4 linked regions of the Arabidopsis thaliana genome follow. The protein of the gene in region 1 purifies or fractionates together with the protein of each later gene. This does not show direct contact. Each region holds a gene or a part of one and is shown in the gene's direction. Other genes may lie near its edges.

Region 1 (6,563 bases):
TCATTCCTTTAGAGAGATATATGGCAGAGGTGAAGGATCAATTAGAGATTAAGTTCCGGCTTAACGATGGTTCTGATATCGGTCCTAAATTGTTTCCTGATGCTACTACCGTTGCTACATTGAAAGAAACCGTTGTTGCTCAGTGGCCAAGAGGTCAGTGTCTATGCTCTTACTCTGCTTTACATGTATTGATGATATTCATTTATGCAATGAGATAAAGCCGCGTTAAGCTTTATCGGTCTGGCGATTTCTCCATGACTAGAATGGTTTAGACTTTAGAATTGCATTGTAAAGAAACTTTCATATTTAGCCTTTTGTTAGGTTCAGAAACTCATTGCCCTCTTTATTGATCCTTGAGAAACTGGTTACAAAGATAAATCAATGACCAAACGTAAGAAGAGACTGAAACAGAATTAGAGCAAACGAGAGAGTAATTTCTGTACAACTCTTCTTTCTCCCCAATGCCCCCAAATTATCTAGACCAATCAGCTTCTTAAACCTTCAGCTCTCAACTAACCGATGAGGTCTATTACTGAGCTGGCAAAGCTACACTTCCCTGCATCACCCCTAGGCTAGTTACATTAGTCCTGCACTGCACTGGACTTAACAAGAACGCCTTCTCGCTTCTCCATGAGGACCTGCATTGGTTTTTCGCCTATATCTGTGATAATATCAAAACCTGATTGTGAGTCATTGGTGTTATGGTTTTGCTTGTTTGTATAATTTTGAGCAGCTAAGGAGAATGTGGCAAAGACACTGAAAGATATGAAATTGATTAACCCTTTATGGTTTTGCTTGTTTGTATGAATGTGAGCAGATAAGGAGAACGGGCCAAAGACAGTGAAAGATGTTAAACTGATAAGCGCGGGTAGAATATTGGAGAACAACAAAACGGTTGGAGATTGCAGGAGTCCCGTCGGCAATTTCTCAGGTGCTGTCACCACAATGCATGTTATAATTCAACATCAAGTTACTGAAAAAGGTAATCTTTAGATTCTTAAGCATTGTTCATAGTATATACTGTTTGAAAACCTCATCTGTTAAGGTTATGCATTTGTATGAGAATCTGAAGATCATTTGCTTTGCTAATGGTTTAAAACAGAAAAGAAGAAGAAGAAGCCTAAAGGTGATCTGAAACAGAACAAATGTGTCTGTTTATGTTTTGGAGCTCGTTGTTAACAATTGTGCAAGACAAGTAGAGAGAGTTAAAAAAGCTTGGGAGATTCACATTCTGTTCTTGAGCCTTCTTCAATACCTTTTGCTCTTGTTCCTTGTAATTCTTTTTTCTGACATGACATGACATGATTGGCTTTTTGATCGCTTGAGGTTTGGTTTCTATTGTATTTCGGATTCGCAACACCGTGGAAATTATTAGGTAACAAACAAATTTGCACGGAATAAAGTGAATCATCACGAAATATAACTTGACATAATTTCCGTGGTTAACAATGTTTGGTTTCTGTTAACAGTCGTAGTGGGCCAATCTCGTTATCAACGGCCCAAAATTCGGGAAACTATATATTAATTATTATTTTCTGCTATATTTTTGGACGGTTCATATTAATTCTACTTCGAAAAATCCTAAGTTTTCTGAGAGTGAACACGTGTCAGAAGAAGGTCTCAGTAGTAAGTACATCCCGATGGTTCACGAAGACTCCGGCGTCGTTTAGCAACTTCTTCTTCTTCTTTATTAGTTTTCTACTTCACCTTTTCTCTTGGTTCTCGCTAAAACTACACGAGAAAGCAAAAGCGTTTCTCTTTGCTGATTTCTTAAGTAAACATCTCGCCGTTTTGGTGGATTTGTGCTAAACTACCTGTTGTATTTGATCTTCCTTTTTCAATTGCTTGCTGTTCTTAAATTTCCGAGCTAATGGCGACGGCTACGACGACTGCTACGGCGGCGTTTAGTGGTGTAGTCAGTGTAGGAACGGAGACTCGAAGGATTTATTCGTTTTCTCATCTTCAACCTTCTGCGGCTTTTCCGGCGAAGCCTAGTTCCTTCAAATCTCTCAAATTAAAGCAGAGCGCGAGGCTCACACGGCGGCTTGATCATCGGCCGTTCGTTGTCCGATGTGAAGCTTCTTCTTCTAATGGAAGGGTAAAGTCTGAAACTTTAGGATTTTTAAGTAATCACAAATCTGGAATTGACACTGGAAGGATTTTACTGTACTGGATTGCTAATTTGGGTTTGATGTTTGTATAGCTTACACAGCAAGAATTCACAGAAATGGCGTGGCAATCGATAGTTTCGTCACCAGATGTTGCAAAAGAGAATAAGCAACAGATTGTGGAGACAGAGCATCTAATGAAAGCTCTTTTGGAGCAGAAGAATGGTTTAGCTCGTAGGATTTTCTCTAAGATCGGTGTGGATAACACAAAGGTTCTAGAAGCAACAGAGAAGTTCATTCAACGCCAACCAAAGGTAATGTAATGTCTTTAAGGGTTTGATATTTGTTGTTTCTTTGTTTGTGAGGCTAATGAAAATTAAGTTTGTGATTTCAGGTGTATGGAGATGCTGCTGGTTCGATGTTGGGGCGTGATTTGGAAGCTCTGTTCCAGAGAGCAAGACAGTTTAAGAAAGATTTAAAGGACTCTTATGTGTCAGTGGAGCATTTGGTTCTTGCTTTTGCTGATGATAAGCGGTTTGGGAAACAGTTGTTTAAGGATTTTCAGATATCAGAGAGGAGCTTGAAATCTGCAATTGAATCCATTAGAGGGAAACAATCAGTCATTGACCAAGGTTAGTAACCACATTTGAGGTTGATAGTTTATAATTTGATTGCATAATTTAGTGGATAAGAGAGTTAATGATCATGTTTGACAGATCCGGAAGGCAAGTATGAGGCGTTGGAGAAGTATGGAAAAGACTTGACAGCAATGGCAAGAGAGGGAAAACTAGATCCTGTGATAGGTAGAGATGACGAGATCCGAAGATGCATTCAGATTCTCTCAAGGAGAACAAAGAACAACCCTGTGTTGATCGGTGAACCAGGTGTTGGTAAAACTGCAATTTCAGAAGGGTAAGTTATCATCAAAAGATTCAGAAGTTGCACATATGTGTATGTAATGCTAAGATATTGCATCTCCACTTTTGAATCAGACTTGCTCAGAGGATTGTGCAAGGAGATGTACCTCAAGCATTGATGAACAGAAAGGTATTCAAATACTTATCAAACTGTTTCTTTTTCTGTTTTTAACAATTTGGATAACCACTGATTTAACCGTTCTTTGGTTTCTTTTCAGTTGATATCTCTTGATATGGGTGCTCTCATTGCTGGAGCAAAGTATCGGGGAGAATTCGAAGACAGACTAAAAGCTGTGCTTAAGGAAGTCACAGACTCAGAAGGCCAAATCATTTTGTTCATCGATGAGATCCATACAGTTGTTGGTGCAGGTATGCAAATTTCCTTTGATTGTTTGGAAACGGTTTATACATTTTCTTGCAATGATTTGTAATTGATTCTTTTGCTTTCAGGTGCGACTAATGGGGCCATGGATGCTGGTAATCTGCTGAAACCGATGCTGGGCCGAGGCGAGTTACGTTGTATCGGTGCAACCACGCTTGATGAATATAGGAAATACATAGAGAAAGATCCAGCCTTGGAGCGTAGGTTTCAACAGGTTTATGTTGATCAACCTACGGTTGAAGACACGATTTCTATTCTCCGTGGTTTGCGGGAAAGGTATGAACTACATCATGGAGTTCGCATCTCAGATAGTGCTCTAGTGGAAGCTGCTATCCTCTCAGACCGTTACATCAGTGGCCGGTTTCTACCCGATAAAGGTTTATACTTTGCTATTCCCATTTTATTATATTATCTTCATTAATAGACAGTGTTACTAACTGATTTGGTAATTGGTGTTCTAGCAATTGACTTGGTCGATGAAGCGGCAGCCAAATTGAAAATGGAAATCACTTCGAAACCTACAGCTCTTGACGAGCTTGACCGTTCGGTAATAAAGCTTGAAATGGAGAGGCTTTCACTTACCAATGATACAGACAAAGCTTCTAGAGAGAGATTGAATCGAATTGAAACTGAGTTAGTGCTATTAAAGGAGAAACAAGCTGAGTTAACTGAACAGTGGGAGCACGAGAGGTCTGTTATGTCCCGTCTTCAGTCGATTAAAGAGGAGATTGATCGAGTAAACCTCGAGATCCAGCAGGCGGAACGTGAATACGATCTCAACCGTGCAGCTGAGCTCAAATACGGAAGCTTAAACTCATTGCAGCGACAGCTTAATGAAGCAGAGAAAGAGCTGAACGAGTACTTAAGCTCTGGGAAATCTATGTTCAGAGAAGAGGTTTTGGGTAGCGATATCGCCGAGATTGTGAGTAAATGGACTGGAATCCCGGTATCAAAACTTCAACAGTCTGAACGAGATAAGCTTCTACATTTGGAAGAAGAATTGCATAAAAGAGTAGTCGGTCAAAACCCAGCAGTGACTGCGGTAGCTGAAGCAATCCAACGATCAAGAGCTGGTCTTTCGGATCCAGGCCGTCCTATAGCTAGTTTCATGTTTATGGGACCAACTGGTGTTGGTAAAACAGAGCTAGCCAAAGCACTTGCTTCTTATATGTTCAACACTGAAGAAGCTTTAGTGAGAATTGACATGAGTGAATACATGGAGAAGCATGCGGTGTCTAGGCTCATTGGAGCTCCACCTGGATATGTTGGTTACGAAGAAGGAGGACAGTTAACAGAAACGGTTAGAAGAAGGCCTTATTCGGTCATTCTATTTGATGAGATTGAGAAAGCTCATGGAGATGTCTTCAATGTGTTTCTCCAAATCTTGGACGATGGGCGAGTCACAGATTCTCAAGGACGTACAGTGAGTTTCACCAATACCGTCATTATTATGACCTCAAATGTTGGTTCGCAGTTTATTCTGAACAACACAGATGATGATGCTAATGAGCTCTCTTATGAAACGATTAAAGAGAGAGTGATGAATGCTGCAAGGTCAATCTTTCGTCCTGAATTCATGAATAGGGTTGATGAGTATATAGTTTTCAAACCTCTTGACCGCGAGCAGATCAACCGCATTGTCCGGTTACAGGTATGTTTCTTTCATTTGAAAATTGCAAAATTGATTAAGCTGATGACATTAAAAGTCTGATATCGAAAAGAGTTAGCTTCTGGAGGCAATTGGATAGTTAGATTGGATTTTGCTTTAAAATGCTCGTTAGTGAATAGTTTAACATCTAATACAATCTACTTTTCCATTGAACGTATAACATACTTTTGATTCTAATAGCATTCGAAAGATTACTTCTTGGCCATCTCTTCACAAAATTAAGGAAGATAAGACTGTTTTAAAAAAGGATTTGATCAGAGTTGAAGTTTTTTTCCATGGCAATACAAAGAACTGTTATTCAAAACCCTGATTGAATCTTTCTTTCTACAGCTGGCACGTGTGCAGAAGCGAATTGCAGACAGGAAAATGAAGATAAACATCACGGATGCAGCAGTCGATCTTCTTGGAAGCCTAGGGTATGATCCAAACTATGGAGCTAGACCTGTTAAGCGTGTGATACAGCAAAACATTGAGAATGAGCTTGCTAAGGGTATCTTGAGAGGAGATTTCAAGGAGGAAGATGGCATTTTGATCGATACCGAGGTCACAGCGTTCTCCAATGGCCAGTTACCTCAGCAAAAGCTCACATTCAAGAAGATTGAGTCAGAAACAGCAGATGCTGAACAAGAAGAAGCAGCTTTCTCAAAATAGAGTAGTTGAAAATGCAACCTTTTGGAGCCCAAGAAGATTCAGACTTTTCAGTACAGAACTTCTAGTGAGTTACTTGTCACAAAAGACTGATAATATTTATCTCAATGTGAGAGTTTATATAAATCATAAGCTTATGAGTCATTGTACTGATGTCTCAAAGGTCCAGAGGTTATGAAAATTGTTGATCATAATTTGACTGTATATGAATGTTGAAGAATCTCTGCAGATACAATAAATTTAGCAGTAGTACACAAATTTACAGATGTTTCACTGATTAGGATTGGTCAGTCGTTTTTGCGGCGGAGGTCCATTTTCACTTCCACCCAACAAAGAATTTCTCCTTTTCAATACGTTCTCTCTAGGAAAGCCATTGTCTGCAAAAAAAAACAACAGAAAAAACAAGTTAGAACTTTGCTGTTGTCAGACAAAAAAAGCTGATTTGTAATTTACAGGAAAGATAAAAGACCTTGTTTCTTCTCTGTGTGATTGTTATCTTCGCTTGGAATTGCATCCTCTGAATCAGACAAAGGCGCGAGAGTGCAGATACCCAGCAAATGTCCATTAAGGCAAACAAAATACTCAATGCAGTCTTCATAAGCTTCCAAACGAATGCAGGCACTCTGAGGTATTATCTTAGCTTGTAGCATGCTCCATAGCTTAGCTTTACAATACGGGCAAACCTCGGATGGATGAAAAGGAACCGCCTTGTTAATGATCACTTTCCGAACTTTCGATGTTGGGAATGACTTGAAAATCCCACGGAACAAACCCACGTCGCCTTCTTCTCCTTGGTCAAGATGCTCGCATGGATCACAAACATAGAGTACATCAGTTCT
Region 2 (6,938 bases), 4.4 Mb from region 1:
GCTTAAAGTTTGCTGCCACACTAATGGTGGGTTCTTTGCCAACCATGGTAAGTAGCACCTATAAACTTGTGGTTATTCTTCTTTCGTCCAAGCTAAATAAGGGAAACACAAAGCTGCTGTGTTGTACGAGGCTGAACTATGTGTAATAGAATCATTCCTGTTTCCTATGTTTCAAGTTTCGAATTCTTTTTTCTTCAATTAAAAAGGCAGTCTTTCTCGTTTAGGTTTTGGATAATTGGAGCTTAGCCTAGATGGAGTATTATTAGTTCTTTTAACTAGATAAATAAGCTGTCATCAACATTGGAGTGATACTGTTCTGCTTCAGATCCTAGAAGCAATTCCACTTGCGCTTTACCAATTTATATGGGACTTCTTACCATCTTGCACTTCTAATAGAAGAAATCTGTTTTCTTCAGACAGCTCTTATATGGCTGACCAACAAGTTCTCCTCTGGAGTTCTGGACCGTCCTAAATGCTCCTTGAACAGCTGTTCTGCTGAAGGATCTCGTACTAATACCGACAGTATTTGTAAGGAAACCTTTTACTTTATACTACTTGGATACGCATAATTTATGATTTGAGCATGTAGTAGACATCACAAAATACCATTTGCTTTGTTCATCAGTTGATATTGGCATGGAAACTATCAAGCTCGGATGGAAAGAATATATTCAACAGCCAGTTCTTCCTGCTAGCCTCGCATATGTCCTTCTCTACTTTAACATCGTCCTCACCCCAGGCAGCTTGATGACTGCATTTCTAACACAACGATGTATGCTACTTCGACTCGGTCCCTTACTTTTCTTTAGTGCTTGGATGAAAATCGTAATTAATCTTGCGAGAGTCTTTGTGCTATTACCTATTACTCTTTCAAATTAGTCACCAATCTGTCTTTTTTCAACAGGTGTGAATCCATCAGTTATTGGTGGTTTCAGTGGATTATGCGCTGTTATGGGCGTCGCCGCAACCTTCTTATCAGCAAACTTGGTCAAACGAGTTGGCATTTTAAAGGTGAAATGTTTTCCCGCCATTTGTTATCTTGAGCTTGTATTGCGTTCAAGCTGATTAATGTTATTGCGTTTGCGTTTTAAAACGATGCAGGCGGGTGCAGTAGGATTGTTTTTCCAAGCTTCACTCCTTGCCGTTGCTGTTGCTGTGTATTGTAGCTCTTCTCTATCCCATAAAAGCCCACTCTTCTTCTTCTTGTCCATGATCGTAAGTTGTTTCTTCACTCTCTCTCTCGACCAGTAATATGCGGTTTTGGTGTTGACTAAAAGGTAACAAACAAATGCAGGTATTATCAAGGCTAGGTCACATGTCTTACGGCGTTGTGGGAGCTCAAATACTTCAAACCGGCATTCCATCATCCAAGGCTAATCTCATCGGCGCAACGGAGATCTCAGTGGCAAGTCTAGCTGAATCGCTTATGCTCGGAGTAGCCATAGCGGCGAATGACGCTTCCCATTTCGGGTTTCTCGCGGTTCTGTCTCTTTTATCAGTTGTTGCGGCCTCATTGATATTCTGCAGATTGCTGAGAAATCCCACTGATGAACAAAGACGACTCTTCTCCTTCGACCCTCTCTCAAATTGATTTGGAGCTTTTACATTGAAATATTTGTATAGTAGTTTCACTTTCAGTGTATAAATTCTTTATATAAAGTAAAGAAAAAAATTGACTTTGGTGTGAAAAATTCAAGAAGTATTCCACTTCCACCATTACTACTCTAAACAAAAAGTACTAAACTGGCTAAACCTTAGTTATTTTTCTAAACCGAGAATTAACGAGATAATTTAACAATCGATTTCAAAAACCAGCAAACCGAAATCACCCAATTTTTGGTCGGTTTGGTTCGATTTTGTTTTCTTTCACCCCTGACGAAGAAAAAAAAAACCCTAGTCACACTCAGATAACATAAACCTTTGACAACAAATTTTGATGCTCCTTCGTCTTACGGCTCGCTCTATTCGTCGTTTCACAACTTCTTCTTCGTCTCTACCATTGCTCTCATCGTCTTCGTTTTGTACTGTTCCAACAATGGCAGCTAATCATCCTAAGGATGAAGCGTATCTCTCCGCCGTCATCCCCAAACGTATCAAGCTTTTCGAGCAGATCCAAGCGAATCAACTCGAGAATCTTAAGTCTCTTCCACACGATCCGATCAAGTAAATACGATGCCGATGTTCTTATGTATCAGTGTGATTTGTAGTTTATAAGGTTTTACTTTGTTTCCTTGAAGATTGACTTCGATTTTCTGGTGTTGTGTGTGTTTAGGGTTACGTTACCAGATGGAAATGTGAAAGAAGGAAAGAAGTGGGAGACAACTCCGATGGATATCGCTGCTCAGATTTCTAAGGGTTTGGCTAATTCTGCGTTGATTTCGGCTGTTGATGATGTTCTTTGGGATATGAATAGGCCATTGGAAGGTGATTGTAAGCTTGAGCTTTTCAAATTTGATAGCGATAAAGGTCGTGATACTCTTTGGCATTCTAGTGCGCACATTCTTGGTCAGGTAAAGGAGTTTTGATCTTATCTGATTTGTGAAAGTTTTGGTTGTGGTGAACGAACGAGTTGTTTACTGTGGTTGTGGGTTGATCTTGGTGCAGGCTCTCGAGCAGGAGTATGGGTGTCAGCTGTGCATTGGACCATGCACAACGAGAGGAGAGGTAAGAGGAGCTTGTTTGTGCTAATTGTTACTTGTTTGTATATCATGTTCCATCATTTGTGAAGTTTGGTTTCTCTGTTTGGGTGTTTCTTGGTATTTTAATGAAGTGTTGTGTGTAAATAAGCTATCGCTGATGTTAGTAATGGATTTGTTATTGCAGGGTTTCTACTATGATGGATTTTATGGTGAATTGGGCCTGAGTGACAACCACTTTCCTAGCATCGAAGCAGGTGCTGCAAAAGCTGCTAAGGTGTTGTTTCTTCTTTTTGATTCGATTACTTTTAAGGTTTCTTACAATGTATGTTATAAAATATTTGCTTATTTTGTCAAACCTTTTTAGTGAAAAATGATTGATATATGTCTCCCAACTCTTAGCCATAGTTTCTATTGGTTTGATTCGCTTCTATTTGCATCTCAGGAAGCACAACCATTTGAAAGGATTGAAGTGACGAAGGATCAGGCACTCGAGATGTTTTCTGAGAATAATTTTAAGGTGGGTTAAGCTGTGTATAAATATCATTGGATTGTGTTATGCTCACCTAACCTTACATTCATTTCTGTCCTCTATGAAGTTGTTGTTTGGACTCATTATTCTGCTGTTAATCATGTAGGTTGAACTCATCAATGGTTTGCCTGCAGACATGACCATTACTGTCTACAGATGTGGCCCTTTGGTGGATTTGTGTCGTGGACCGCACATACCAAATACTTCCTTTGTGAAAGCGTTCAAGTGTTTGAGGGTGATTTGCTACTGTATCTCTAGGAGCTACATCTCTACAGATTCTAGTTTGTTTTCTTATGCTGACCAATATATTTTTCTCAGGCCTCATCAGCTTACTGGAAGGGTGACAAAGACCGTGAGAGCTTGCAGAGAGTTTATGGGATATCTTATCCTGATCAGAAGCAGCTGAAGGTACTCAAAATATCTTAATTATTTATGGCAGCTACGCTGTGTCATAAGTATGCATAATATCTATCATTTGGTCGACAGAAATATCTCCAATTTCTAGAAGAAGCCAAAAAGTATGACCACAGACTATTGGGCCAAAAGCAGGAACTCTTCTTTAGTCATCAACTCAGGTATTTCATTGCTAATATACTGTGGTTTCCTCTTTGTGTTTCACTTTACTAATATCTATTCTCCATCCTTGAGCTTCAGCCCTGGGAGTTATTTCTTCCTTCCACTCGGCACTCGTGTATATAACAGGTTGATGGACTTCATTAAGAACCAATACTGGCACAGGGGTTACACAGAGGTTTTTCTTTGCTCTAATCTCATATTTAATATATTTGATGCGTGGGGATCGCTAAATAACCTTGCACTTGCAGGTTATTACACCAAATATGTACAACATGGAGTTGTGGCAAACATCCGGACATGCTGACAATTACAAGGATAATATGTTTACGTTTAATGTGAGTCTCCTTGACTATGTTATTTTAGCAAGCAGCTCTCTAAGTTATATTCTACGTATGAATGACTTATCAGAATGTTCCTTATGTAGATTGAGAAGCAAGAGTTCGGGCTCAAACCTATGAATTGTCCTGGTCACTGCTTGATATTCCAGCATAGGGTTCGCTCATATAGAGGTGTGACTCTGTTCCTGTTGTGCTGTTCGATATCATCAAAAACAGATCTATGAATGATATTAGTTGTAGAAATTAAAGTTCACTCCATAACAGACTATCAAAACTCTTTTGTGAAATACTAGGTGCTGATTTTTTCAATGACAGGAGACTTGCTCCAAAGTGTAACTTGTGATTTGTAACCTATCACCGTGGACAATATGACTACTGTTTCTCCTTTATGAATCTTACTAAAGAAATTGTCTATCATGTATCTTGACTGACACCATTGTTTTGCTTATATAATCTGATCTGTAGAGTTACCTATGAGACTGGCCGACTTTGGAGTGTTACACCGCAATGAGGCAAGTGGAGCACTTAGTGGATTGACTCGTGTCCGACGGTTCCAGCAGGTAGATTTTGTATCCTAGTATTACTTAATTATCATTTTACCCTTTCCATGATGCATATTTGTTACTTAATATAATGTTCGCATACTTTTTCAGGATGATGCACACATATTCTGTACAACGGAACAGGTTTGTGATATATGTTTCTTTTCTGGCAATGTCGGAGCTCCCTGTCTCCCAGTTTTTGGTTATAAGTAATGTTATATATTTGCAGGTTAAGGGAGAAGTGCAGGGTGTGTTGGAGTTCATTGACTACGTGTACAAAGTTTTCGGGTTTACCTATGAGCTAAAACTTTCAACGGTACCATATTTGATGATTTCTTCACCAGTGCATCTACCAGATCTTATAGTCTTGACATGACATGTTTCTTTGCCCATTATTTGCATGTTAATTTAAATTTCAGAGGCCAGAGAAGTACCTTGGAGATTTGGAAACATGGGATAAAGCTGAAGCGGATCTCAAAGAAGCTATAGAAGCTTTTGGAAAGCCATTAGTGGTATTGTCACTTGTTGTTGAATACTCGAGTTTATTCACAAAGTCTGCATTCATTCTAATGTAAGCTGTTTTGGCAGTTGAACGAAGGAGATGGTGCATTTTATGGTCCAAAGATAGACATCACAGTTTCTGATGCAATGAATAGGAAATTCCAGTGTGCTACTTTACAGGTTATACTCCCAAATTCTTTTTAGTTTTTCTTGTCTATGCATTTCTCTTGCTGTTATCAGTGCAGGAGTTGATTTTATGTTTCTTGTGGCCTCAAATCAGCTTGATTTTCAACTTCCGATTCGCTTCAACTTGGAATACGCAGCTGAGGATGAAGCGAAAAAGAGTAGACCTGTAATGATACATAGAGCCGTGTTGGGATCTGTGGAACGTATGTTTGCCATATTGTTGGAGCATTACAAAGGAAAATGGCCCTTCTGGATTAGTCCGCGACAGGCCATAGTTTGTCCTATATCAGAGAAATCTCAGCAATATGCAGAAAAGGTTACTTTTGTGGCTGTTGCTGTACTCTTTTACTGAGCACATGTGGTTCTTATCGACTTATTTGCAGTGTCTAATCTCTGGTTTTTCTTTTGACACAACAGGTTCAAAAGCAAATTAAAGATGCTGGGTTCTATGTTGATGCTGACTTAACAGACAGAAAGATAGATAAAAAGGTAAACGATTTCGGTTCATGTTCCAAGTTTTGTTCTGTGGTTGGCTGGTGATTCCTAAGATTAACTTGAGTGATGATGATTGTGGTGTGTTTGTAGGTGCGAGAAGCTCAGCTTGCTCAGTACAACTACATTCTGGTCGTGGGTGAAACAGAAGCTGCTACAGGACAGGTTAGACTGCCGATCCTTATCTTGAGTCTCTCGAGCTTAATTTAATTTTGATTTTAAGACCATTTGTATGTTGCACTTTCACATTTTCAGGTGAGTGTTCGTGTGAGAGACAATGCAGCCCACTCCGTGAAGAGCATTGAGGATTTGCTGGAAGAATTCAAGGCCAAGACTGCCGAATTTGTATGAGATCCGACTCATGAAATTCAAGTTCTGATATGATGTTTTTTTTTTTTTTTTCAAATTAGGGTCGACCCAGATTTAAGTGTTCATCTGTTTCATTAAACCATATTAGGCCTCAACTATATTAAAGTTTCGATTACATTCTGCGAAAACTCTATGTTTGGTCCCCTTTTAGTATCATTTTATGGAAGAAAAAAATCTGGGCCATGATTGTTAGAATGCTGTCCGAGGAGGCCATAATTGAGCACCCTGAGTATTATATTTTGTGTGGAACTTAACTTGTTCACACGCATAGCCTTGAATCCTGACTACGAAGCTCTACGCGATGGAATCAATTTCTTTGTGAAAACTAATATGGCAATTTAGGGGGAAATTCAGGAAAGCCAAAGAAGGTCTTAGTAATGCAGAAGAATTGCTTTGTGATTCTGTTGCCAAAAGTTTGCAACATTTGTCCTTAGAGACAGTGGCAACATCCTTCAGTTATTATATATAGACAATGTGTGAGCTTCGGCATCAATGAGAAACTGTTTCAGGTATCATCTTATCTGTAGAAAAATCAATTTCTATTTTCTTTCAAGAGATCATAGGAGAAAAGATATAAGAAATTTGGATTTATAACCTACAATTTTTTTTATAAATTAACAAACTAACCTATAAAAAAAACCTTCGAATACAACAGATATATAATATATATTATTACAATTTTACCTTTACCACTATCACCACTAACCACCACCACAACCACCGCTGCCGGAACTATTACCACTAACCACCACCACAACTACCGCTG
Region 3 (5,382 bases), on another chromosome or scaffold:
CAACCGATCGACCAATTACAGCATCCGTGGAGAAGCCTAATCCAGGTCTGCACCAAACATCAATAACGTCTCTAGCTTCTTCGCTTAAAATCCTAATCGAACCATCTTCGTAGCTTCCTTTATTCTTCTTTTTCTTTTTCTTATGCTTATGCTTCTTCTTCTTCTTATCTTTTCTAATTCTGGCATCCAAATCCGCGGAGTAGCGAATGACGGAGGGAACAGAAACCTCTTGAGCTGCTGCTGCTGCTGCGGCATAGCAACCCATCCCTCGAAACGACGACGTTTGGTACGGTTTCTTCCTCGTGCTTTCGTTGGAGGAGGAAGTCGGGAGGGGAAAGAAGGAAGACATTGCGGAGTTACAGAAGCGATTAGGTTGTGAAATCGGAAGAACGACGTGGCTTAGCGGCGGATCATCGTCGGCGGCGTGGAGATGACGGATTGTTTGGTTTCTAGCTCGTCGGAGTCTGATGTGCTCGCCGATTGTTGTAGAAGACATTCTCAAAGAAAGAAAGTAAAGGAGATAATGGAAATGTGGGAGAGAGAGAGCGAGACACAGTGCGCGGGGAAGGATGAAAGAGAGTGATTTCAAGCTTGATGATGATGATGATACAGTTTTTGTATAATGATTATAGCTTTTCCTATATAATACTATTAAAGATTTTTTAGTTTTTGTTTTTACATGCAACCATTAGTATGAGATTCCAAACAAAATCAGCTCATGCATATCTTTTGTGAATACTACCAAATTAGAAATAATGATTTTATAAGAGATATTGTTTAGGTTAATTTGAGTATTTCTCTGGGTTTTTAACTTTTTTTGGGCAATTTAGTTTAATGATTTTGCTTATTTTTGGTTTTTCTATTCCAGAAAAGTAAATTTTAAAATTTTTAAAATGATGCTTGCTTGTAAAAATAGGAAAGGTGTCAGTCACTACATGACTCTTTTAAGTCGAAACAATCTTGTTAAATAAATAAAAAGAGAGAGAGTGATTAGATATTATTTTGGTAGAGATAAAGAAGAGACACAAAGTCCAGCTGAAACATCCTACGATAAGCTTAAACATCAAAAGACCACTTCTTTGGTTGGTTTTAATATTTGAACAATCCTCGTATACATAAAGTTGGCACTCTTGAGCTTTGAAGACATCCAGCAAAGCCTTGATGGTTGATGCTCATCGCCACGAAGCCTGAACCGTTTTCCTTTCCAATATTACATTATTGTCTACCAGACCCGGTTCAACCAAATCGAACCCGACTACATTTTTGTAACACGAAACCATCCGAGAACGTTGCAAAACTGATTCTAGCTTCATCATTAATAGGCTTTTAAGAGCCCAAAACTACAAATAATAAGCCCACTTCAAACTGATTTTATAGCTTCCACATTAATAGGCCTAATAATGGTCATTTGGATATTATTGAGAATGCAACAAATATAAATGTGAAACATTAAATCAAAGAAAGTCACGCCAAAATAGGTTATATACATATACTTTTAATTTGCATTTTATCAACAAAACTACAATTCAATTGAAAAGAAATTATAAATATTGTAGAAAATTATTTAAATACAAAAGGAAATTATGTAAAGTTAGGTGCATCTGCCACTTGTTGTTATTACCTTATTACAAAAAATGAAAGGAAAAGCTCTAAAGCTTGGCCCGCAAGTCACTTTAGTGTTGTAGCTATAAAAGGGAAGTTGACCTTGGGATAATCTACTCCTCTGCTCTCAACGTCATCTTCTATATTCTATAGTTTCTATTTGTCCTTCGTTCTCTGCTCATCCATCGATGGCGAATAATCATCATCCCAAGGATGAGGCTTATCTCTCATCCGTCATCCCCAAGCGTATCAGGCTCTTCGAGGAAATCCAAGCCGAGCAGCTTGAGCAGCTTCAATCTCGGCCACACGATCCAATCAAGTAAATACGTTTATGATTAATTGTTCATCATTTTCACTAGGGTGCATCAATTTGTTTGCTAAGCTAGGGTTTTGCAATTAGTTGATTTCTGGTTTTTGTTTCACTGCTTAGGATTACTCTTCTCCCCGACGGTATCGAGAAAGAAGGAAGGAGATGGGAGACCTCTCCAATGGACATCGCAGTGCAGATTTCTAAGGGTTTAGCAAAATCTGCTCTGGTTTCTTCGGTTAATCATGTCTTGTGGGACATGAATAGGCCCCTGGAAGGTGATTGTTCCTTAGAGATTTTCGGATTTGACAGCGACCAAGGCCGTAATACTTTCTGGCATTCTAGCGCCCACATTCTAGGCCAGGCTCTCGAGCAGGAGTATGGATGCAAGCTATGTATTGGACCCTGCGAACCCAGAGATGAAGTAAGAGCTTTGTTCTGTGTTTTTTCCCCTTAATTATGTTTCTTTGGCTAAAAGAGTAAAAAAAGGAGGAGTCAATATTGTTTGGTTCTTGGTATTTCATCTGTAATGTTGCAAAGACGGGCTATCTCTGATGGTAATTGTTATTGCAGGGCTTCTATTACGATTCACTTTATTATGGCGAGCTGGGATTAAACGACAATCATTTTCCAAACATCGAAGCAAGTGTTGCATATATATCTTTTGCTGACATCTTTTTTGTTTTGCGGTATGGAATGTAGAATTACCCATTAGAATGGCCGAATTTGGAGTGTTACACCGAAATGAGGACAGTGGAGCACTTGGTGGAATGACCCGTGTCCGACGGTTTGTACAGGTATGTTTGCATCTTTCTGGACTTTTCTTGTGGTAAAATGTTTAAAACTTAAAAATTGATTGCTTTATATAAAGACTAGCGACATTCAAAATGATATCATGATTAGTTAAGCAGCTTATTTGCCATGTTGAAGTGAAGAAGTTACCCCTTTACTTTACTTTACTTAGTAGTTTGTCAATTTGATTTTAACCCTTTTGTGCGCGTGTTGCTTAATTAAATAACATTGTGCATACTTGTTTTCAGGATGATGCACACATATTCTGTAGAGTGGATCAGGTTTGTGATATTTGTTTCTTATGCAGCAACGTTGGAGCTCCTTATCCTCCCAGTTTCTTATTTTATAGAAATATTCTTATCTATTTGCAGGTTGAGGAAGAAGTGAAGGGTGTGTTGGATTTCATTGACTATGTTTACAGAATATTTGGGTTTACCTATGAACTAACGCTTTCAACGGTAGGATATTTTCACATTTCTTCTCTGCCAAACCTAATATACTTTGCATGGTATGGTCACGTATCTCATTGTTTGCATGTTGGTTTCGACTTCAGAGGCCAAAGGATCACATTGGAGATTTGGAAACATGGGCTAAAGCTGAAAATGATCTTGAAAAAGCTCTAGATGATTTTGGAAAGCCATGGGTTGTATGTGTCACTACTTTCTGATGCTTCTACTCAAAACTTTATAATTCATAGAGAGATTCTAAAGTGTGATGTTTTCTGAAGATAAAGGAAGGAGACGGTGCATTTTATGGCCCAAAGATAGACATAACAGTGTCTGATGCCAGGAATAGGAAATTCCAGTGTGCTACTATACAGGTTAGGCTCCCAAACTCTTTTTAGTTTTTTCCTCTGTTTTTTGTTCTTGATCTCTTACAATAAGATTTTGATCCTTATTTGCTTCGTACCAGCTTGATTTTCAACTTCCGGCTTGCTTCAAACTGAAATACCTAAGTGAAAAAAACGAAATGGAGGCACCTGTGATGATACATAGTGCGGTGTTGGGATCTATTGAGCGTATGTTTGCCATATTGTTGGAACATTACAAAGGAATTTGGCCCTTCTGGCTTAGTCCCCGCCAGGCCATAGTTTGCTCTCTTTCAGAGGATTGTAGTTCCTATGCCAAACAGGTTTTCTTACATTCTTTATTTATGAACCCTCACACCTGCAATTCTTGCAGTGCCTAATCTCTAAGCTTTTTGTTTCCTTTGCACGTACATTCAAACAGGTACAAAAACAGATTAATGAAGTCGGGTACTATGTTGATATTGATGAAAGTGACAGAAGCCTCCGTAAAAAGGTAAATTCTTATGATTACAAGCTTTCCAAATGTTTAGGTCTTTGAGCATATTATACAAGTGAGATTATTTAAGGCCATAAATTTTTATCTCGTAAAGGCTAGTTGTCTAAATTTCATTATAAAATAAAGTCGTTTTTTCTTGGTAGATATGAATGTATATATAGAAATTGCAAAGAAAATGCATAGTTATATGTGTTCACGAGTGTGATGATTTTGTTGTGTTTGTAGGTGGCAGATGCTCGGGATGCACCATACAACTACATACTGGTCGTAGGTCAAAAAGAGGTTGCAACTGGACAGGTTGAGTGTCTCACTTTTTTCTCATGATTCATATCTCTTTGACCATCGAGCTTCTCAAACATTGATTGATCTTTTTGTTTTGTTGGGACTGTAACATTTTCAGGTGACAGTTCGGCTCAGAGAGGACCCTGAAGGCCGTAAAGACTTGCCAGAGATGAGCATCGAAAGTTTGCTTGATGAATTCAAGTTCAAGACAGTCAACTTCCTCTGAGATCCGATGTTTATGGTTTAAAATTTCATTTTTCTGTTGATGATGAATGTATTTCTTTTATAATGGTCTTTTTCATTGTACCAAGACACATTTTGGAATAAAATGTACTATTGAAGTATAATCAACCAATTATCAAAATAAAATCTCGACTTTTGGGACAGTGTTATTTTTGGATTAAGACGCAATGTTTTCTTTGAATTCAAGTTTAATTCAAAGCCAACGAAAGATGTTATGATCTCATAATTGATTTTTTAACACCACTAATGAAAATTTTCAGTTGAATAATCATTTTATTTTCACAAACTTGTCTGAGTGTTTTTAAAAGATGCTATAAGTAAAAACAAGTCTTAATCCTATCTGCATTTGCATCTATCGGCACTTTATTGACTCTGTATGCTCGCTCTCTAAAGTCTTATCACTATTTTGATCTTTTATCATATCTATATCTGATAAATTTCAACTATTTTGAACAATTAATCAACTAGTCACCACTGAAAAATATTCAACGATTCGCGTCATTATTTTCATATGAAGTGATTCTAGGAAATATATACACACATCCAATCAGAAATTAATACATTCTTGTTCTAGTGGGTGTCTTAATCTTATCCAAAATTTGATTAATTCAACATCTTTGTACAATGATCAACGTTTCGTTTCATTATCTTCCATAATAAAATATGTATATACAGTTATGCTTATCTTTTTGGGTTGTTCTTTCGTATTGTCTTAAACAATAATAATCAAGGTGACATACATATCTAACTCAACGAGGAAACCCTAGCAATCATAATGACATCAGTTTCAGAAAAAAGTAAATTGAAAAGAAAAAGAAAACTCGATGATATAAATTCATATATTAATTTCGG
Region 4 (5,637 bases), on another chromosome or scaffold:
AACGTCGTTCAGCCAATGACCCTTCGTGAGCTTATTGTCTATCCTATTAATGAGCCTATGCGTGAGTATTGGCAACCAATCGGCTCCACCATCACAACTGATGGGTAAAGACGTACGACTATACTAATTATAATGTTTTCTCTTCTTGTTCTCTTGTCTTTTATTTATAAATAACTAGATAAGACCCGCCTAAATAGGCGGGTGTAAGATGTAAATGTAATTTTTATCGATAATATTTAAATTTTGAATAGTAAAATAATAGTCGATACATTGTTCTTATAATTTTGAATAGTAAAATAGTAGTCTTATGCATTTTATTTTGTTATACCCATTCAGTCTTATTGATGATATTTGAAGTCTAAATAGTAACCTACACACTTTTTTATATTATAATTTAGTATTTAGAAGAAAAAATAAATTTTTATCTTATACATTCAATTTTGTAATACAATTTAACTATCTATTTCATAAAAAACTCGATTTTAATTCTACACACTTCATCTTACTTGATAATGATTTCATGTCAAAATAATATATATATATATATATATATGAGATCAAATCTATATCTTAGTTAATATTAAAATTATTAACAATTAACAAAACATAATTCATAATAATAAAACATTTGCTAATACCATATATATTAAAAATTTGACCAATAACATATATAATTTTTTTTTTTTGTTAATTTTCCTTTTGGTTAAGAAAAATAAAATGTAATATTTTTTAGATATAGACATATGAATTAGTATATGTTAATAATGATTTATTTTTTAGTTTTCTATTTCTTTAAGAAGAAAAAAGTTAATTGATTTCTTTTTAAGTATTTCTATTTCTTTAAGAAGAAAAAAGTTAATTATTTTCTTACACATGTCAACATCTGATTGATAGATTTGACACGTGGCAAAATCGTATGAGTTAGTAACTTTGAAAACCATACTTTATATAATAAGATATTAAAAATTATTAACAATTAACAAAACATAATTCATAATAATAAAACATTTGTTAATACCATATATATTAAAAATTTGACCAATAACATATATAATTTTTTTTTTTGTTAATTTTCCTTTTGGTTAAGAAAAATAAAATGTAAGATTTTTTAGATATAGAAATATGAATTAGTATATGTTAATAATGATTTATTTTTTAGTTTTCTATTTCTTTAAGAAGAAAAAAGTTAATTGATTTCTTTTTTAGTATTTCTATTTCTTTAAGAAGAAAAAAGTTAATTATTTTCTTACACATGTCAACATCTGATCGATAGACTTGACATGTGGCATAATCTTATGAGTTAGTAACTTTGAAAACCATACTTCATATAATAAGATTTGTCGTTTACAATAATATAAGATGCATGCTTGTTGACAAAAGAAAGCAAGTTCGAAATATGTTAGAATAGAGCTATTTTAAAGGTTTCTTCTGGATCGTTTGAAATATACAAGATCGTTCGAAGGCACAATGCTCATCTTTTCTGTAGAGATATATCGTTTGCAATATACAAGATTGTTAACCTAATTAAGCTCATATTTGATAAGTTGAAGTGTTCGACAATCTTCTTTATTGTTTCCATTCTTGTCTTTTCTTCCTTTATTTTATTATTATTTTTTCTATAGTGTCTAATCTTTTTTCTTTCTTTACAACAATTCTGTTCCATTTTATTTTAGGGGTTTAATTAGAAAATTTGGTATTTTAATAATTATTTTTTAGTTGAAATATTTTAATAATGAATTAAATGAGTACTATTTTATAAAATGTTGAAAAAATACCTTAGATATATTTCCCAATATGTATAGATATAATTATATCTTTATGTTCTTTTTGGGGCAAAAAATCTACATTTTCTATACTAATCGTTTATTGCTTTAATTATAATAAACTATAAATGGTTGTTATGAAATAGTAATAACTTGTTAGTTTCATAATAATTTAAAGTTAATATATTAAAATATCAAAAATTCCTATTTGTTGGGAAAAAAGACACCCCCATGGCCCATAGTACGCTTCAAAATTAAAAACAAGGTCTCCCTCCCTGAAACTCCAAAGTCCGAAACTAAAACCTATCGACGTCCGTCTCACAACTTTTTACAAATTTCTCATCGTCTTCGTTCTCTGCTGCTCCACCAATGTCGAAGAATCATCCCGATGAGGATGAAACAAACCTATCCTCTGCCGTGAACCTCAATTTATAGGATGTATCTTTGAAAAAACATTCAGAATTTTTTGGGCCCTTTTCAATAGCATTTTTTTTGACAAAGCGCAATGTTAAATACGAGGATTGGGGCTAACCTTCACCAGTTTGACGAGCTTGTGTGGATTACGTAAGCGTACCTCGCGGTTTATGTCGAAGAATAGTTCCTTAGTCACATACATCCCTTATTTGGCGTTTGCGAGTTTCTTGCAATAGTAAATTACCGTCTCAACGGCAGAGCCGGTCTGTCATGCAAAAATGCCTTATGAAAATAAACAAATTGTGTCTTTTATTTGTTTGCATAATCACAAATAATAATAATATATAAAAGTTATACTAAAACTTTATAGAACATTTTTTATAACATTTTATAAGCGTTTTGTAAGTAAAAAAGAGGGAAAAAAACAAAATTATATTTTTAAATATAGCTCTATTTAGATTTTTGCCTACAAAACTATTCATCAAATTCACGTAATCGAGTTTTTCAAACATTGTTGTCTTAATGGATAATAAAGTCAATTCATTTCTTTGATTAATCAAAACAATTTTTTTTGTTATGTAAACAAAGTTCAACCACTTTACATTAGAAAGTTGAAAAATTCTTTCTAATGCCCTTTTCATAATGCCCCTTTTCAACTCTACCCTTTTGTTTTATCCATTTTCATTTATACCCTCTTTAAATTTTTAATGACCATTTTACCCCTATTTAAAAATTATTTTAGGTTAACAAAATAAAATATTAATATTTTTTCGTCTAAAATATTCTAAAATAAATTTCCCGCCAAAATTTTCCCGCAAAACTTTTTCGAAAAAAAAATTCCCGCCAAATTTTTTTTTCAAAAATTTCTTTCCCGCATTTTTTTTTTTGGCGGGAAATAGATTTACAAGGGATTTTAAAAGGGTTTTAAAAGATTTACAAGGGATTTTAAAAGGAGTTTTAAAAGATTTACAAGAGATTTTAAAAGATTTACAAGGGATTTTAAAAGGTTTTTAACAGATTTACAAGGGATTTTAAAAGGTTTTTAACAGATTTACAAGGGATTTTAAAAGGGTTTTAAAATATTTAAAAGGAATTTTAAAGGGCTTTAAAAGATTAACAAAGGTTTTTTTAAAATTTTTAAAGGGTTTAAAGTGTTTTAAAAGATTTATAAGGGATTTTAAAAAATTTACAAAGGTTTTTTAAAGGGTTTAAAAGTGTTTTAAAAGATTTATAAGGAATTTTAAAAGATTTACAAGATATTTTTAAAGGGTTTAAATGAGTTTTAAAAGATGTACAAGGGTTTTTAAAAGATTTTCAAAGAATTTACAAGAAGATCCTTTAAAATCCATTGTAAATCTTTTAAAACCTTTTTTAAATCCCTTGTAAATCTTTTAAAACCCTTTTAAAATATCTTGTAAATCTTTTAAAACCCTTTTAAAATCCCTTGTAAATTTATTTCTAGCCAAAAAAAATTTACAAGGATTTTTAAAAGCATTTTTTCGGCTGAGAAAATATTTGTTACGAAAAAAAATTTGGTGGGAATTTTTTTTTTAGCGGGAAAAAAGTTTGGCGGAAATATTTTTTTGGCGGAAAAAAAAATTTTTGGCGCCAAAAAATCGGCGGGAAAAATAATTTTGGCGCCAAAAATCGGCGGGAAAAATAAATTTTGGCGCCAAAAAATTGGCGGAAAAAATTCAGTTTCCAATTACATGTTCCTATTAGATGAGGGTAATATAATCATTTTGTTCAAGGGAAGGGATATTTTTAAAAATGAACAACATAATAGGGTATTGTTACAAAATGGTAGTAAATAAATGGTAGTTTTACAAATCTCCCAATTTTTTATTTTTAATCAAAGTTTTAGAATTTAACGTTTTATTTTTCTTAAATAAACTAAACTAAATTCATTAAGAAAACATTTTATTAATTTAAAGATGTTAAAGAAAGATAGTGAATGAAAAGCTTAACAAAAGTAAATATATAGAAAATGCCTATATTTGTTTTTATTTAAAACATAAAAGAAAGTGCCTATATTCCAGTGTGCTACTATACAGGTTTGGCTCCCAAACTCTTTTTTTTTTTTTTTTTTCTATTCCCTGCATTTCTCTTGGCAGTTTATTTAGTGTGTCGTTTCTGCTGTTGCCTAATATCAGGTTGATTTTCACCTTCGTGATCGCTTCAAACTAGAATATTCAGCTGAGAATGAAACTATGATAGAGAGATCTGTGCTGATACATAGAGCGGTGTTGAGCTCTGTTGAGCGTCTTTTTGCCATATTGTTGGAACAGTACAAAGGAAAATTCCCCTTCTGGCTTAGTCCCCGCCAGGCCATAGTTTGCTCTGTTTCAGAGGATTATCGTTCCTACGCAGACAAGGTTATACATTCATGACTGTACTCTTAACGAGTTTACTTGCAGAGTCTTATTATATCTCTCTTCCTAATTTCCTTTGTTTGCGTATATTCAAACAGGTGAGAGATCAAATTCACGAAGCTGGCTACTATGTTGATGTTGACACAACGGATAGAAACGTCAGTGACAAGGTAACTGTTACAAGGTCCCTGAGCACAAACCATTGAGGTTTATGTTCCCGTATACATTTTGAATGATGATTGTGGTTGTGAGTAGGTGCAAGAAGCTCAGGTTGCACACTACAACTACATACTAGTCGTGGGTGATGAAGAGGCTAGAACGGGACAGGTTAGAATCCAGTTTTGCTCATTCCATTAAATGTCTGTGCATCAAGCCTCTCTCACAAACATGGTTTTTGTTGTCAGGTGACTGTTTGGCTTAGAGACGAAATGATGAGCATCGAGACTCTGTCGGATGAATTCAAATTGAAGACGGCCAACTTTCTTTGAGACCCTTTTATTTGTGTCTAGTGATCATAAGAACGTGGATATTTGGAAAATATGTTTCTATTAAGAATTCACAAACCATTTTGACAATTAAAACCAAAAAAGACAATCTATATTTATATTTAAACACTCTTAATTAGCGAAACCAAAACCCTAACAAAACCAGGTAATAATAATAGAAGACATTTTTTAACACTGAGGAAGATCATGAGGAGGAGGAAGCAGAGTTTGTGAAGGAAGAGGTCCATCTTTGACGATAAACCCCATTGCTAAACCCCACGAAGTATGTTGTTCTAGATGACAGTGAATAAACCAAACTCCTGGATTATCCGCATTTATCCTAATCGCCGCCCATCCTCCCGTCGGCACTGCAAAAGTATTCCTCTCCGGCGGATCCACCAAGTTGTACCTTTTCGGATCCTTCTCCGGGTCAAAATTCCCAAATCCTCTTCCCACTACGAAGAAATTGTGTCCGTGTACATGTAAAGGATGATTCTCGATGTTTAAGAAACTCGTTCCCTGAAACACGATCTCTAATCTCGATCCGAATTCGACTTCGAAAAGCTTCGTACCGAATTCTGTGTTCATGTTTTCCGATACCGG

The links.
Region 2: the proteins of CLPB3 (region 1) and AT5G26830 fractionate together in Arabidopsis thaliana (co-fractionation; one large-scale study listed by BioGRID). This does not show direct contact.
Region 3: the proteins of CLPB3 (region 1) and AT1G17960 fractionate together in Arabidopsis thaliana (co-fractionation; one large-scale study listed by BioGRID). This does not show direct contact.
Region 4: the proteins of CLPB3 (region 1) and AT1G18130 fractionate together in Arabidopsis thaliana (co-fractionation; one large-scale study listed by BioGRID). This does not show direct contact.

Annotation. Positions count from the first base shown.
Region 1 is NC_003076.8:5,013,563-5,020,125, reverse strand, and holds CLPB3 (casein lytic proteinase B3), read left to right. Parts: upstream 1-1,778; 5' UTR 1,779-1,870; coding exon 1,871-2,098; intron 2,099-2,203; coding exon 2,204-2,422; intron 2,423-2,502; coding exon 2,503-2,740; intron 2,741-2,824; coding exon 2,825-3,020; intron 3,021-3,100; coding exon 3,101-3,155; intron 3,156-3,243; coding exon 3,244-3,394; intron 3,395-3,475; coding exon 3,476-3,784; intron 3,785-3,868; coding exon 3,869-5,058; intron 5,059-5,406; coding exon 5,407-5,727; 3' UTR 5,728-5,914; downstream 5,915-6,563. Other genes in the region: MUB2 (membrane-anchored ubiquitin-fold protein 2), read left to right, coding at 21-153, 818-982, 1,103-1,179; EDL1 (EID1-like 1), read right to left, coding at 5,995-6,101, 6,194-6,563. UniProt on the Arabidopsis thaliana protein: Molecular chaperone essential for chloroplast development and seedling viability. Mediates internal thylakoid membrane formation and confers thermotolerance to chloroplasts during heat stress.
Region 2 is NC_003076.8:9,435,415-9,442,352, forward strand, and holds AT5G26830 (Threonyl-tRNA synthetase), read left to right. Parts: upstream 1-1,772; 5' UTR 1,773-1,936; coding exon 1,937-2,163; intron 2,164-2,272; coding exon 2,273-2,510; intron 2,511-2,604; coding exon 2,605-2,664; intron 2,665-2,823; coding exon 2,824-2,913; intron 2,914-3,081; coding exon 3,082-3,156; intron 3,157-3,274; coding exon 3,275-3,403; intron 3,404-3,486; coding exon 3,487-3,576; intron 3,577-3,654; coding exon 3,655-3,743; intron 3,744-3,822; coding exon 3,823-3,919; intron 3,920-3,992; coding exon 3,993-4,079; intron 4,080-4,168; coding exon 4,169-4,253; intron 4,254-4,547; coding exon 4,548-4,642; intron 4,643-4,735; coding exon 4,736-4,768; intron 4,769-4,853; coding exon 4,854-4,940; intron 4,941-5,043; coding exon 5,044-5,136; intron 5,137-5,212; coding exon 5,213-5,305; intron 5,306-5,405; coding exon 5,406-5,627; intron 5,628-5,728; coding exon 5,729-5,800; intron 5,801-5,896; coding exon 5,897-5,968; intron 5,969-6,058; and 3 more. Other genes in the region: IREG3 (iron-regulated protein 3), read left to right, coding at 1-47, 417-528, 626-772, 905-1,011, 1,102-1,215, 1,295-1,591; AT5G26840 (uncharacterized protein), read right to left, coding at 6,874-6,938.
Region 3 is NC_003070.9:6,180,146-6,185,527, reverse strand, and holds AT1G17960 (Threonyl-tRNA synthetase), read left to right. Parts: upstream 1-1,721; 5' UTR 1,722-1,790; coding exon 1,791-1,921; intron 1,922-2,032; coding exon 2,033-2,333; intron 2,334-2,482; coding exon 2,483-2,555; intron 2,556-2,611; coding exon 2,612-2,706; intron 2,707-2,949; coding exon 2,950-2,982; intron 2,983-3,072; coding exon 3,073-3,159; intron 3,160-3,254; coding exon 3,255-3,347; intron 3,348-3,428; coding exon 3,429-3,521; intron 3,522-3,613; coding exon 3,614-3,832; intron 3,833-3,930; coding exon 3,931-4,002; intron 4,003-4,230; coding exon 4,231-4,302; intron 4,303-4,405; coding exon 4,406-4,513; 3' UTR 4,514-4,663; downstream 4,664-5,382. Other genes in the region: AT1G17970 (RING/U-box superfamily protein), read right to left, coding at 1-496.
Region 4 is NC_003070.9:6,233,763-6,239,399, forward strand, and holds AT1G18130 (Class II aaRS and biotin synthetases superfamily protein), read left to right. Parts: upstream 1-2,132; coding exon 2,133-2,180; intron 2,181-4,330; coding exon 4,331-4,552; intron 4,553-4,647; coding exon 4,648-4,719; intron 4,720-4,804; coding exon 4,805-4,876; intron 4,877-4,953; coding exon 4,954-5,037; downstream 5,038-5,637. Other genes in the region: LAC1 (laccase 1), read right to left, coding at 5,224-5,637.